Linked DNA regions of Rattus norvegicus. The protein of the gene in region 1 purifies or fractionates together with the protein of each later gene. This does not show direct contact. Links are inferred from orthologs where the notes say so. Each region holds a gene or a part of one and is shown on either strand. Other genes may lie near its edges.

Region 1 (5,156 bases):
CTACTCGGATATTCCCCTACCACTCCATATCAGAGTCTGTGAACTATGACGTGAGAGTGTTTGGATCATCGCTCCCTGTTAAGATCATGGAAGCCCTGGCGATGGCTGAGGGTAGGTGTTGTCTTTTCATTTGTCCCCATATTGGTCAATAACCAGGTCACATGTGATAACACTTTGGCTTTGTCTGGTAGAGAAGTAGGCAGCCTGCTGAGTTCTCCTCATCCCTAAGACACTGGTCTGTGAAGCTGAGTGAATCTTTCTAACACAGTTACACCAGTGATTCTAAGAACGATGTGTGTACTTCAGTCCCTTATATCCCCAACTTTTGAGTTGATTAGATATAGGGAATTTAGCTATAGAATCATCCAAAGTGCAGTACCTTGCGTTGTTAGATTAAATAGTGTTTTAGAGTCAAGTTCTGCCTCCAGTTCTGGGTTCTGAGTGCTGTGTAGTGTCCCATAAGTCATGTGACAGGCCTATGGGGTTTCGTGTCCTACAAGTCATGTGGTAGACTCATTGGGTTGTTATTAAGTCAGTATTGGGTTATTATCATATCTTTAAAGCCTCTGCTGGCATAAAGATGATGCAAGAGTTGGGAGGCGTCAATCACAGGGAAAGAAGAGAGAAACAGGGAAGGGCAGACCAAGATGCCATCATGTCAGCCCAAGTCGCTTCATTAACAGGTCTACTGGACCTTTGCATTTTTCTAGAACGATGTTTGGCAAACTACAGGTTGTGACTGAAATGGCTTCGGTGGTCATGACAAGCATTGAAGGGAGACAAAGTTTTAGAATGCATCTTAGCATTTTTTAAAAACTGTATTTTATGTATGTGAGTATACATGTGCCTGTCTTCAGACACACCAGAAGAGGGCATCAATCCCATTACAGATGGTTGTGAGCCACCATGTGGGCACTGGGAATTGAACTCAGGACCTCTGGAAGAGCAGTCAGTGCTCTTAACCACTGAGCCATCTCTCAGCATTTTAACTTAAAACTTTTATATTTGTGTGTGTCACATCACTCAAGGTCTGTTCAGTCCCAGCATGTTGGGGTCAGAGGGCAGCTCTCAGATCATGAAGCCTGAGCTGTGGGCACTTACCCACTGAGTAGCCGAGGATAAAATGTCCTGTTGTAAAGGACCGTTTACTGTCCCTCAGCTTAGCCACCCTGGCTGCCAGTCCTTAGGCTTTTGGTATGGTGATGCTCACACTGCTACTCTCTGCCCTGTGTCCTCCTCCACCTGCCTTCCCCCACTTCATTCTCTTTTTGTCACCCTGAAATGTTTAATTCTTACTGAGTTTAAATCTCTGACCATACTTCTGGGTCATGCCATGTCTGTGTTTAAACAGTACGTAGCCTCCCTCTAGGGATTCAGGAGGGAATCCCAAGAAGTTGAGAGCTACAGACAAGAGCAGTGTAGACTTGAAGAACTTGTCTACATTGCAGGTCTGACCACATCTAATGTTGGGTCAGACCTGCATGGGGTGGGGGCTGAACACTCCTGCACAGGGGCTCCAGGTCAGCAGAAAGTCCTGCACAGCTCGGGCATGTTTACACAGTTAGCATGTTCCTTTCCAGTGCTGTGTGCTTTGCACTGCCACCTTGTCTAAAAGCAAAGAGCAAAGCTCAAATAAGATTCTCAAGGCTGTGAACACATTTATGAAGGCTCACCCCCACTCCCTAGACACAGTGGTAAATTGACTTACTTTTTCCCATAGTAAACAATGCTCTTGTGTTTCCTTATGATGAAATGATTTACCATATCTTTAAGGAGCTCTATTTGAACATTATATTCTTTTGGAGGAATGTGGTAATTTCTTTGAAAATAGTTGTTAATAAGAGGGTTATTGTTTGGTTTATCAAATTATAAGTGATTCTTACAGAAGTAAAATTGTCTCTGGTTTTTGAGGGTTAGACCCGACTGACTTCAAACTCAAAAGAGATCCACCTGCCTCTACGTCCAGAGTGCTGGAATTAAAGGCATGTGCTACCATGCCTAGCTAAGATTCTTTATAATAGGGCTGGAGAGATGGCTCAGTGGTTAACTGCACTGACTCCTTTTCCAGAAGTCCTGAGTTCAATTCCCAGCAACCACATGGTGGCTCACAACCATCTGTAATGGGATCTGATGCCCTCTTCTGTATGTGAAGATAGTGACAGTGTACTCATATATATAAAATAAATCTTAAAAAAAATTAAGAAAAAAATATTCTTTGTAACAAAAATTAAAGAGTATTAAACATATACTCTAATAATTTTTGCCTTTGGATATATTTCTAACAGTAATTATCAGAACTAAATAACTCATTTTTGATAGATTAATCTTAAATATTTGGAAGTTATGTGACTTGCATTTTTAAATTAATTTTAATAATATATTATGATAATTGCCTCTGTGTATGCCTAAGTATATATGTGTACCATGTGTGATTATGAACCTGTGGGTGTCAGAAGGGTCGATTGGCTCCTCTAGAACTAGAGTTATAGGTGGCTGTATGTCACTGTGTAGATGCTGGTACTAGAACTGGAGTCATAGGTGGCTGTGTGTCACTGTGTAGATGCTGGTACTAGAACTGGAGTCATAGGTGGCTGTGTGTCACTGTGTAGATGCTGGTACTAGAACTGGAGTCATAGGTGGCTGTGTGTCACTGTGTAGATGCTGGTAACCAAACCCTGGTCCTCTGCAGGAGCCGTAATGCAGCTTCCTGTCTTGGTGACTAATGTGGTAAAAAGATGTTGCTATAAGGAGATGAAACGACTTTTTCGTGGTCTGGATATGGGGTGAACTGTGTGCCTTATCCCCTCAGCTGACGACCAGCTCTCTGTCCACGTCGATGAAGGTGGGTGGGCCTGCCTAGTATGCAAAGAGAAGCTCCTCGTTTGGAAGATTGCTATGTCCCCTGTGACTAAGGTAATAGCCCTTCAGATACCCAGTCGGGAAAGGGATCCCAGCTGGCTCTTTATTTGCACCTTTATTCTTTGAAGTTTATGAGGACAGCCAGTCAGTCTGTGCAAGCATTGAGAATTCAGGATATGGGAGCTTGTGAGATGGCTTAGTGGTGAAGAGTTCTAGAGGTTCTGAGTTTAATTCCCAACAACTACGCAGTGGCTCACCATCTGTAAGGGGATCTGATGTCCTCTTCTGGCCTGTGAGTGTACGTGCAGCAGAGCAGGCATACAGTGAGAAGGGAGGGAGGAAGGAAGGAAGGAAGGAAGGAAGGAAGGAAGGAAGGATAGAAGAAAGAAAGAAAATTAAAGAAAACCACCAGATTTTTAAGTAAATAAAAAAGCAGGATAATTAAATACTGAATGTACATCTATAGTGTGTTGCAAAATCTTCTCTTTTAATATTTTATTTTTATTGATATCTTTAGTTTTTTTTTTTTTTTTTTCCTTCTCCAAAGACCCATTGATTACAGGTCAAAAGAAATGAACATGCACTTGAGACACTACTGTCTCTGAGCTCTGGGCTATTGTTGTAGAAAATTTTGATTCCAGTCCAGGGTTTCTACCCTGCCTTTGGCCATTGAGTTCCTGGATAAAAGACACACAACCTTTATATTTAGAACAAGCCTTAATCAGCACGAGAGCTGGGCAGATGTCTGCCCTCCGTGGTATTAAAAATCTATTTTCCTATTGATAACACCAAGTTATAATTTATTGCACTTCATCTGGCCTGCTCTGAACTCCAGTTGGTGGCCCTCAGGGCCACGTTTCCGTGAGCTCACCTAGCCATGGTGGCGTCTCCTCTCATTTATCCTTTCACACTGTTCTCTGATGCTACAAGCTGCTCAGTGCTCTCTTCCTTGCAGTTGAGGTTCTTCTGAAGGATCAGCTCTGTCTGTTAACTGAGTGCTTTCTACGTTTTAGTGAAAGCCCAGCACCACGTTTGAGAGGGTGCTTTCAACCTTGGAGACCTTGGTGTAATTTCTCTATGGCTATAATAGTTTTACAAGTCAAATAAATTATTACCTCAGCTAGCAAAGTTTTGCTGGAAACCTGGCCACTTCCCCTAGCCCAGTGGTTCTCAACCTGTGGGTCATGACCCTATAGGGGTCTCATATCAGATATTTACATTATGATTTTTTTTTAAAGATTTATCTATTTATTATATATAAGTACACTGTAGCTGTCTTCAGACACACCAGAAGAGGGCATCAGATCTCTTTACAGATGGTTGTAAGCCACCATGTGGTTGCTGGGAATTGAACTCATGACCTCTGGAAGAGCAGTCGGGTGCTCTTAACCACTGAGCCATCTCTCCAGTCCCTACATTATGATTTCTAACAACAGCAAAATCGCAGTTTTGAAGTAGCAATGAAATAAGTTCATGGTTGGGGGTCACTGCAACATGAGGAACTGCCTTAAAGGATCACAGCATTAGGAAGGCTGAGAACCACTTGTACAATAGAACCTTTGGCCTGGCACAAGCACAGGCTAGTTCATATAGAAGTCCAGTTTAGTATCCCTGGCTTTGTTGTTGGTCAGAAAGAGCTGAGAATAGAAAGGCTATTGTGGGATAGTGTTCAGGATGGACTCATGGAGTCTGCAGAGGATCAGAGGAGCCTGCATGAACACCCTGGCTGGAATGTAAAGGGTTTGCTCTCTGTGTTTGCCTTGCAGTTGTCTGTTTGCAAAGACCTCCAGCTGCCCCCTAGCGATTTCCACTGGAGTGCTGATTTGGTGGCACTGTCTTATGCTGCAACCTCAGGTGAAGTACATTCTGTTCAGGTATGTGCGTAAAGATGATGAAGGGGCTTTCGAGGTGGCTCAGTGGTTAAGAGCCTGTGTGGCTCATGCACAGGGGATAAGCTCAGTGCTCAGCACCCACTTTGGGTGATTCATGGTTGCTGGTAACTCCAGTTCTAGGGGACCCAACAATCCTTTCTGACCTCTGTAGACCCCTGCAAGCGGTGAGCATACAGACAAGCAGGCGTGCGTGCACACACATATTTTTAAAAAACATTCTGGAAAAGGTGATCGAGAGGCTGGTGTGGAGGTGCACACTTTTAATCCCACCCCTGGGAGGCAGAGTCAGGTGGCTGTAGGAGGACAGAGCCAGCCTGGTCTCTGTCAAACTCCAGTGAGCTCAAACTAGACAAGGTGAGGCCTTGTCTCAAACAAACAATACTCTTTGTAAAATGAGAATATGAA
Region 2 (5,156 bases), on another chromosome or scaffold:
ATTCATGTTATGTTAGTTTACAGTAGCATAGCAGACACCTTAGGTGTTCTTTGTCATGTTAGCATATTTCTATATAGCTGTTTTTCTATTAAGAATAAACATCTATTATAGAAAATTAGATACTCCATGCTTTAGTACATGGACGGTCTTACTAAAGAATGAATGAAATAAGCCAAGCATGGTGTACACCTGTAGTCCCAGTGAGGAGGCCGAGGCAGCTGGGCCACCAGTTTGGCAAGACTCTGTGTTAAACCACATGCTACAGTTGAGGGTCATTTTCAGAAACCCATGGTTGAGGTATGTGGTTAGAGCAGGTTTGCTAGCCTCTGTGGAAGCCAAAGATCGACCATTGGTGTCTTCCAGTGAACCTGGAACTCAGCAATTGACTAAACTGGCTGGTCAGCGGACCCTCCCGATCCCACTTTCTTTTGCCTCCCAGTACTGAAAATGTCGACACTTACCCTTTGTCCAACATTACACATGAGTGCCAGGATCTGGACGCAGGTCCTCCCCTCGTGCTTACACAACAGGCATTTTACCCACAGTTCTCGCTCCACGGTCCCTGGTCCTAAATACTTAGGGTCTTCAAAGCCCTGAGCATATATGACATTGTAATTTGGTCACGTGTGACATTTCATATCACTAATATTCCTCGGGTGCTTGAGCATCCTCCTGTGGGATATTTTCATGTTTTAAGGGTTCTGGTGTTATATTAGACTAGGCACCTTTTATTAGGTAGCCGGAGGTACTGGAGAAATTTGAGAGCCAGGGTCTCATTTTGTTTGAAGTTGACCACAGTGGAATCATATGACCACAAAAGGTAGCTAGTGCTGCAGACACGAGCTTCCCCTCTCCCAGAGAGCTGTTTTCCAGCTCTGGATTTGTCTTGTAATTTTTTACTTTTAGTCCTAAGTAGTTCTGTTTGTTGAAGTGTTTTTCAAAAGTTTGCAGAGATGGATGAGGCATTTCTCACAGATGGTGAAATTTCATGCACGCCCTAAAAGAAGCATGTGAAAGAAACCATGAATAAATAGATCAAACATGTTGAACATGATACTAAATTCTTAAATTCCTTTTTGGTTTTTTTTGAGACAGGGTTTCTCTTTGTAGCTTTCTTTGGCTGCCCTAAGAACTAGCTCTGTAGACCAGGCTGCCCTAAGAACTAGCTCTGTAGACCAGGCTGGCCTCAAACTCACAGAGATTCGCCTGCCAAGTGCTTGGCTTACAGGCGTGCACCACCACTGCCAGCTAAACTCTTTTTTTTTTTTTTTTTCTTTTTTTCTGGAGCTGGGGACCGAACCCAGGGCCTTGCGCTTGCTAGGCAAGCGCTCTACCACTGAGCTAAATCCCCAACCCCCAGCTAAACTCTTGTTAGCCCTAGAAGTACATGAGGAGCTTAACTGGAGACCGAGGTGCTCTGAGAAGCCGACGATTATGATGTTGCTCCAGGTAGCCTAAAGCGTTGTGAATATTGATTTGTATTTTTACAGTAGGAAGGGTGTCTTGCCATCAGTGGCCTGAGGTATAATTTCTGTTAATCATAAACTGGTAGTGGAGTTGTCTGATGCTGCCAGTGCATTCCTCTTGTTAAGAGCCACGGCTTTCATGGGCTAGGGAGATGACTCAGTCAGTAAAGCACTTGATACTCAACCTTTAAGACTTGAGTTTGGATCCCCACAATTCATATAGGAAACCGGCGTGGTACACAGCCCAACAATGGGGGAAGGAAGGGAGAGGCAGGATGCTTGAGAGCCAAGTAGCCTGACCTAGTGTAAAGTCCCAGTGAAAGACCTGCGTCAACCAAGGTGGAAGGCACCTGGGGACCAGCCCAGAAGGCTGTCCTCTGACCTCCGTAGACACACTCCTGCTTCTCCTTTTGTGAGTGCACACACAAAAGGTCAGAGGAGCCTTGGTTGGAGTTTGGGTTTGTTGGGTTTTTGGTGAGTAGTGGTGTTTTAGTTGAGATAGGATCAGGCCAGCTGGACCCCAATCCTGTTGTTTTTCTTACCCCTACCTCCTGCTGGAGCTATAAGTCTAGGCCGTCATGCCCAGCCAAAGTCATACTAGTAAGATTTGATGTCTGATGTTGGTCAGCAGTCTATTTGTGTCTGTCTCTCTTTGTGTCTTAGTGATGGGCATATCACACAGAACTTGTTTATAATCGTACTCTTTATTAGCTGAGGCACGGGTAGTGAGTTCAAAGTGGCATGTAATCTCTGCTGCTTCTGTAATCACAGCACCTTTGCTCTGAGGTACTATTTAAAAGGTTCAAAGGAGAGTGCATGCTACATTTCTTTTTTATTACTTACTCTACATCCCTCTCATTGCCCCTCTCCCTCTCACCCCCTCCCACCATTCTTCCCCCTACCCTTTTCCTCTGAGCAGGTGGGGCCCCACACCCGGGCACTTTATTTTTAAAAATGCCTTCATTTGCATGTAGTAATTATGTCTATTTTGCTTCACATTTCCATATATTTATATGACATTTTGATCATACTTAGCTCTCCTCCCTTACCCTTTGACCCCTTCCTCCTAGCTAGTTCCTCCATTGCTTGTCCTTCTTTTTTTCCTTTGTATGATTCAGATAGGGGTGGCTAAACTAGTCATCTGTGTTGTATATAACCTCCTACTATTTTGCAACTTTAACTTTGTGAACTTTTCCACATCCCACCCCCCGCCCCCATTAGAGTTAATTGCTCATAATGAGAGGAGCTGAGGGTCAAACTTGTGAGCAATAGCTTTGTGCTTCCTGGTCCCGTCTTTATGATGTGATGGCATTGACTTTGAAGCGTGAACTAGTCATGGACAGTGAGTGGGCTTACTTAAATGAGAAGTTTTTGCCATCACTTCTGTCTCCTGATAATGGGTGATAAATTTGTATGCTTATATTGTCTTTGGATGTTTTTGTCTTTCTAATGTGCACCATTTGTTCCAGGATTTTTGCTGCCACATGTATGATTGCCTTTTGTTGTTTTTAAACCAGACAGTTACAGGTCAATGTTTTGTTTGTTTCTCACTTGTCTTTAGCTAAAAACATGGAGGCCGCTGCCCAGCTGAAAGAATTGGTGTCAGATATATCTTCTCGGTTTGTGGTTTCCCCTCCTGCCTTGAGAACCAGGCAGAAAAGTACATCCAATGCTTCCAAGCTTCTAGGTGAATTGGTAAGGAAGGCATGGATATATATATTTATTAAAACTCTCTGTGCTTATTGGGTTATTTGTTTGTTCGTTTGTTTGTGTGTTTGAAGTAGACTATATACCCCAGGATTGTCTGGAAGTCATGATCTTGCCTCAGGCTTCTGAGAGCTGAGATAAAAAGGATTTTTTCCCCCTATGTTGGCTGTTCTTGCAGAGGACTCAGTTCCCAGCTCCCATCCTCTAACTCCAGTTTCTGGGGGATCCAGCGTTCTCTTCTAGCCTCCTGGATGCCCAATATTCATACATATGAAATAAAAATAATAAATATTTTTAAGCAAGGTAATTTACATTTATATCAAAAGTCCAAGGGCTCAGGTTTGCTATCATCGAGACAGAGCAGCAGTAATTTTCTAGTTACCCATTAGGATGAGATAGGAGGCCCTCCTTCTGCGTTCAGTTCCAGCCTGCTCTGTGCTTAGTCCTCAGCCAGCCCGGGATGCATCTCAACAGCAAACAAACAATCCAATAGTAATAAAAACCGTGGCCCTTAAAATTAAAGAGACAGTAGATCTAAGTAGTGCGCTGAGTAAAGCCATCTCTGCCCGAGTGCCTCTGTGGACACAGGAGAAGAGGAGAGAGACCTCTCTGGCAGAAAAAGCAACAGGTGCAGGCGTTCAGAAACATGGCAGAGGGGTCTGTCTGGGTAGGATCTAAGGGTTTTTAGCAATACTTGACTCCTTGTCTGAGCAGGATACTTTTTAAATCAATACTTTGAATGTTTAATTACAGCTAGACGTAGTGGTGCATGTCTTTAATCCTAGCACTTAGGAAGCAAAGCAGGAGGTGGACCTCTGAATTTGAGGCCAACCTGGTCTACAGAATGAGTTCCAGGACAGCCATGGGTACACAGAGACAGAAATAGAGAAACCCTGTCTAGAAAATCAAAAAAGTCTTTATTGCTTAAACAATATATATTTTTAAATTTCTAATCCATAGGAGAGTAACCCTAAACCAGTAGAAATCATAGAACAAAAACCAAAAAGAAGCAGGACTGTGAAGACAAAAGTGAGCAGGTAAGCAGCATCCCTCCATCCTCTCCGTCCATTCCCTAGACTGAGAGGAATTAGTAGAAAAGGTGAGGCCACTTCCCACACATGCCTGGCTGCTTAGCCTTGGTAGAGCTCAGCGCTTGAAGGTAGCATTCTCCACAGAGTGAAGACTTACAGTTTATTGTCCACTGGGCATGGTTGGATGAGACGATAGTTTGCTCTTTAATTAAAGTCCACAGCTGTTCATTCCACTACTTAGCAATATTACTGCGCGTGCAGTAACTGAGTCACTTGAGATATCTCTGCGTAACAGGATTCTCATGCTGTTCTCTTGGGCATGGCTAAAGTTAATGAAGGTACAAATTCATTCATAACTGTGATACAGTTGACTTAATGACGCTGCTCTGATGTAAACTTGTCTGTGTGTTTGTTCATGATTCATAGACTCACCACTTGCTACTGTTGATAAGCGCATGGGTGGGTCTGCTGGCTCTCATCCTGTGAGCTGACTAGGTCCTTGGGCCATCCTTTAACAGCAGCATTTTAAACCTATCTGTGACTAAGTATTCGTATCAGCACACATGGGGCTGGGGTGGGAGATTGAAGCCTTAACTCTGCCTACAAGTCAGCCACATCTGTGCGAGAGTGAAACACTTGACAAGACAGCACGTTGTGGCCATTCCTACTTGACTGTGTCTTTCTTTCAGAAACACAGGAAAAGGAAGTTCTTGGTCACCTCCCCCTATAGAAATTAAACTGATCTCTCCCTTGGCAAGTCCGGTGGATGAAATAAAGGTCAGCAAGCCAAGAAAGACTGCAGAAGTAGCAGGAAAAACTCTTGGAAGGGGCAGAAAGAAGCCATCTTCTTTTCCAAAGCAAATTTTACGCAGGAAAATGCTGTAATTTTTAGCCCAAGATTTTAACATGCACCTGTTTGTAAAAGTCAACAGTATTTGTGTGGATTATTAAA

The links. Proteins that work in one complex are often made in the same cells at the same time.
Region 2: the proteins of Nup133 (region 1) and Ahctf1 purify together in Homo sapiens (affinity purification with western blotting; 3 studies listed by BioGRID, with this or other methods). This does not show direct contact. The link is inferred for Rattus norvegicus from reciprocal best matches to the Homo sapiens genes NUP133 and AHCTF1.

Annotation. Positions count from the first base shown.
Region 1 is NC_086037.1:68,831,084-68,836,239, reverse strand, and holds part of Nup133 (nuclear pore complex protein Nup133), read left to right. Parts: coding exon 1-111; intron 112-2,689; exon of another isoform or gene 2,690-2,809; coding exon 2,810-2,913; intron 2,914-4,625; coding exon 4,626-4,733; intron 4,734-5,156. UniProt on the Homo sapiens protein: Involved in poly(A)+ RNA transport. Involved in nephrogenesis.
Region 2 is NC_086031.1:94,015,264-94,020,419, reverse strand, and holds part of Ahctf1 (protein ELYS), read left to right. Parts: intron 1-3,027; coding exon 3,028-3,161; intron 3,162-4,133; coding exon 4,134-4,210; intron 4,211-4,893; coding exon 4,894-5,089; 3' UTR 5,090-5,156. UniProt on the Homo sapiens protein: Required for the assembly of a functional nuclear pore complex (NPC) on the surface of chromosomes as nuclei form at the end of mitosis. May initiate NPC assembly by binding to chromatin and recruiting the Nup107-160 subcomplex of the NPC.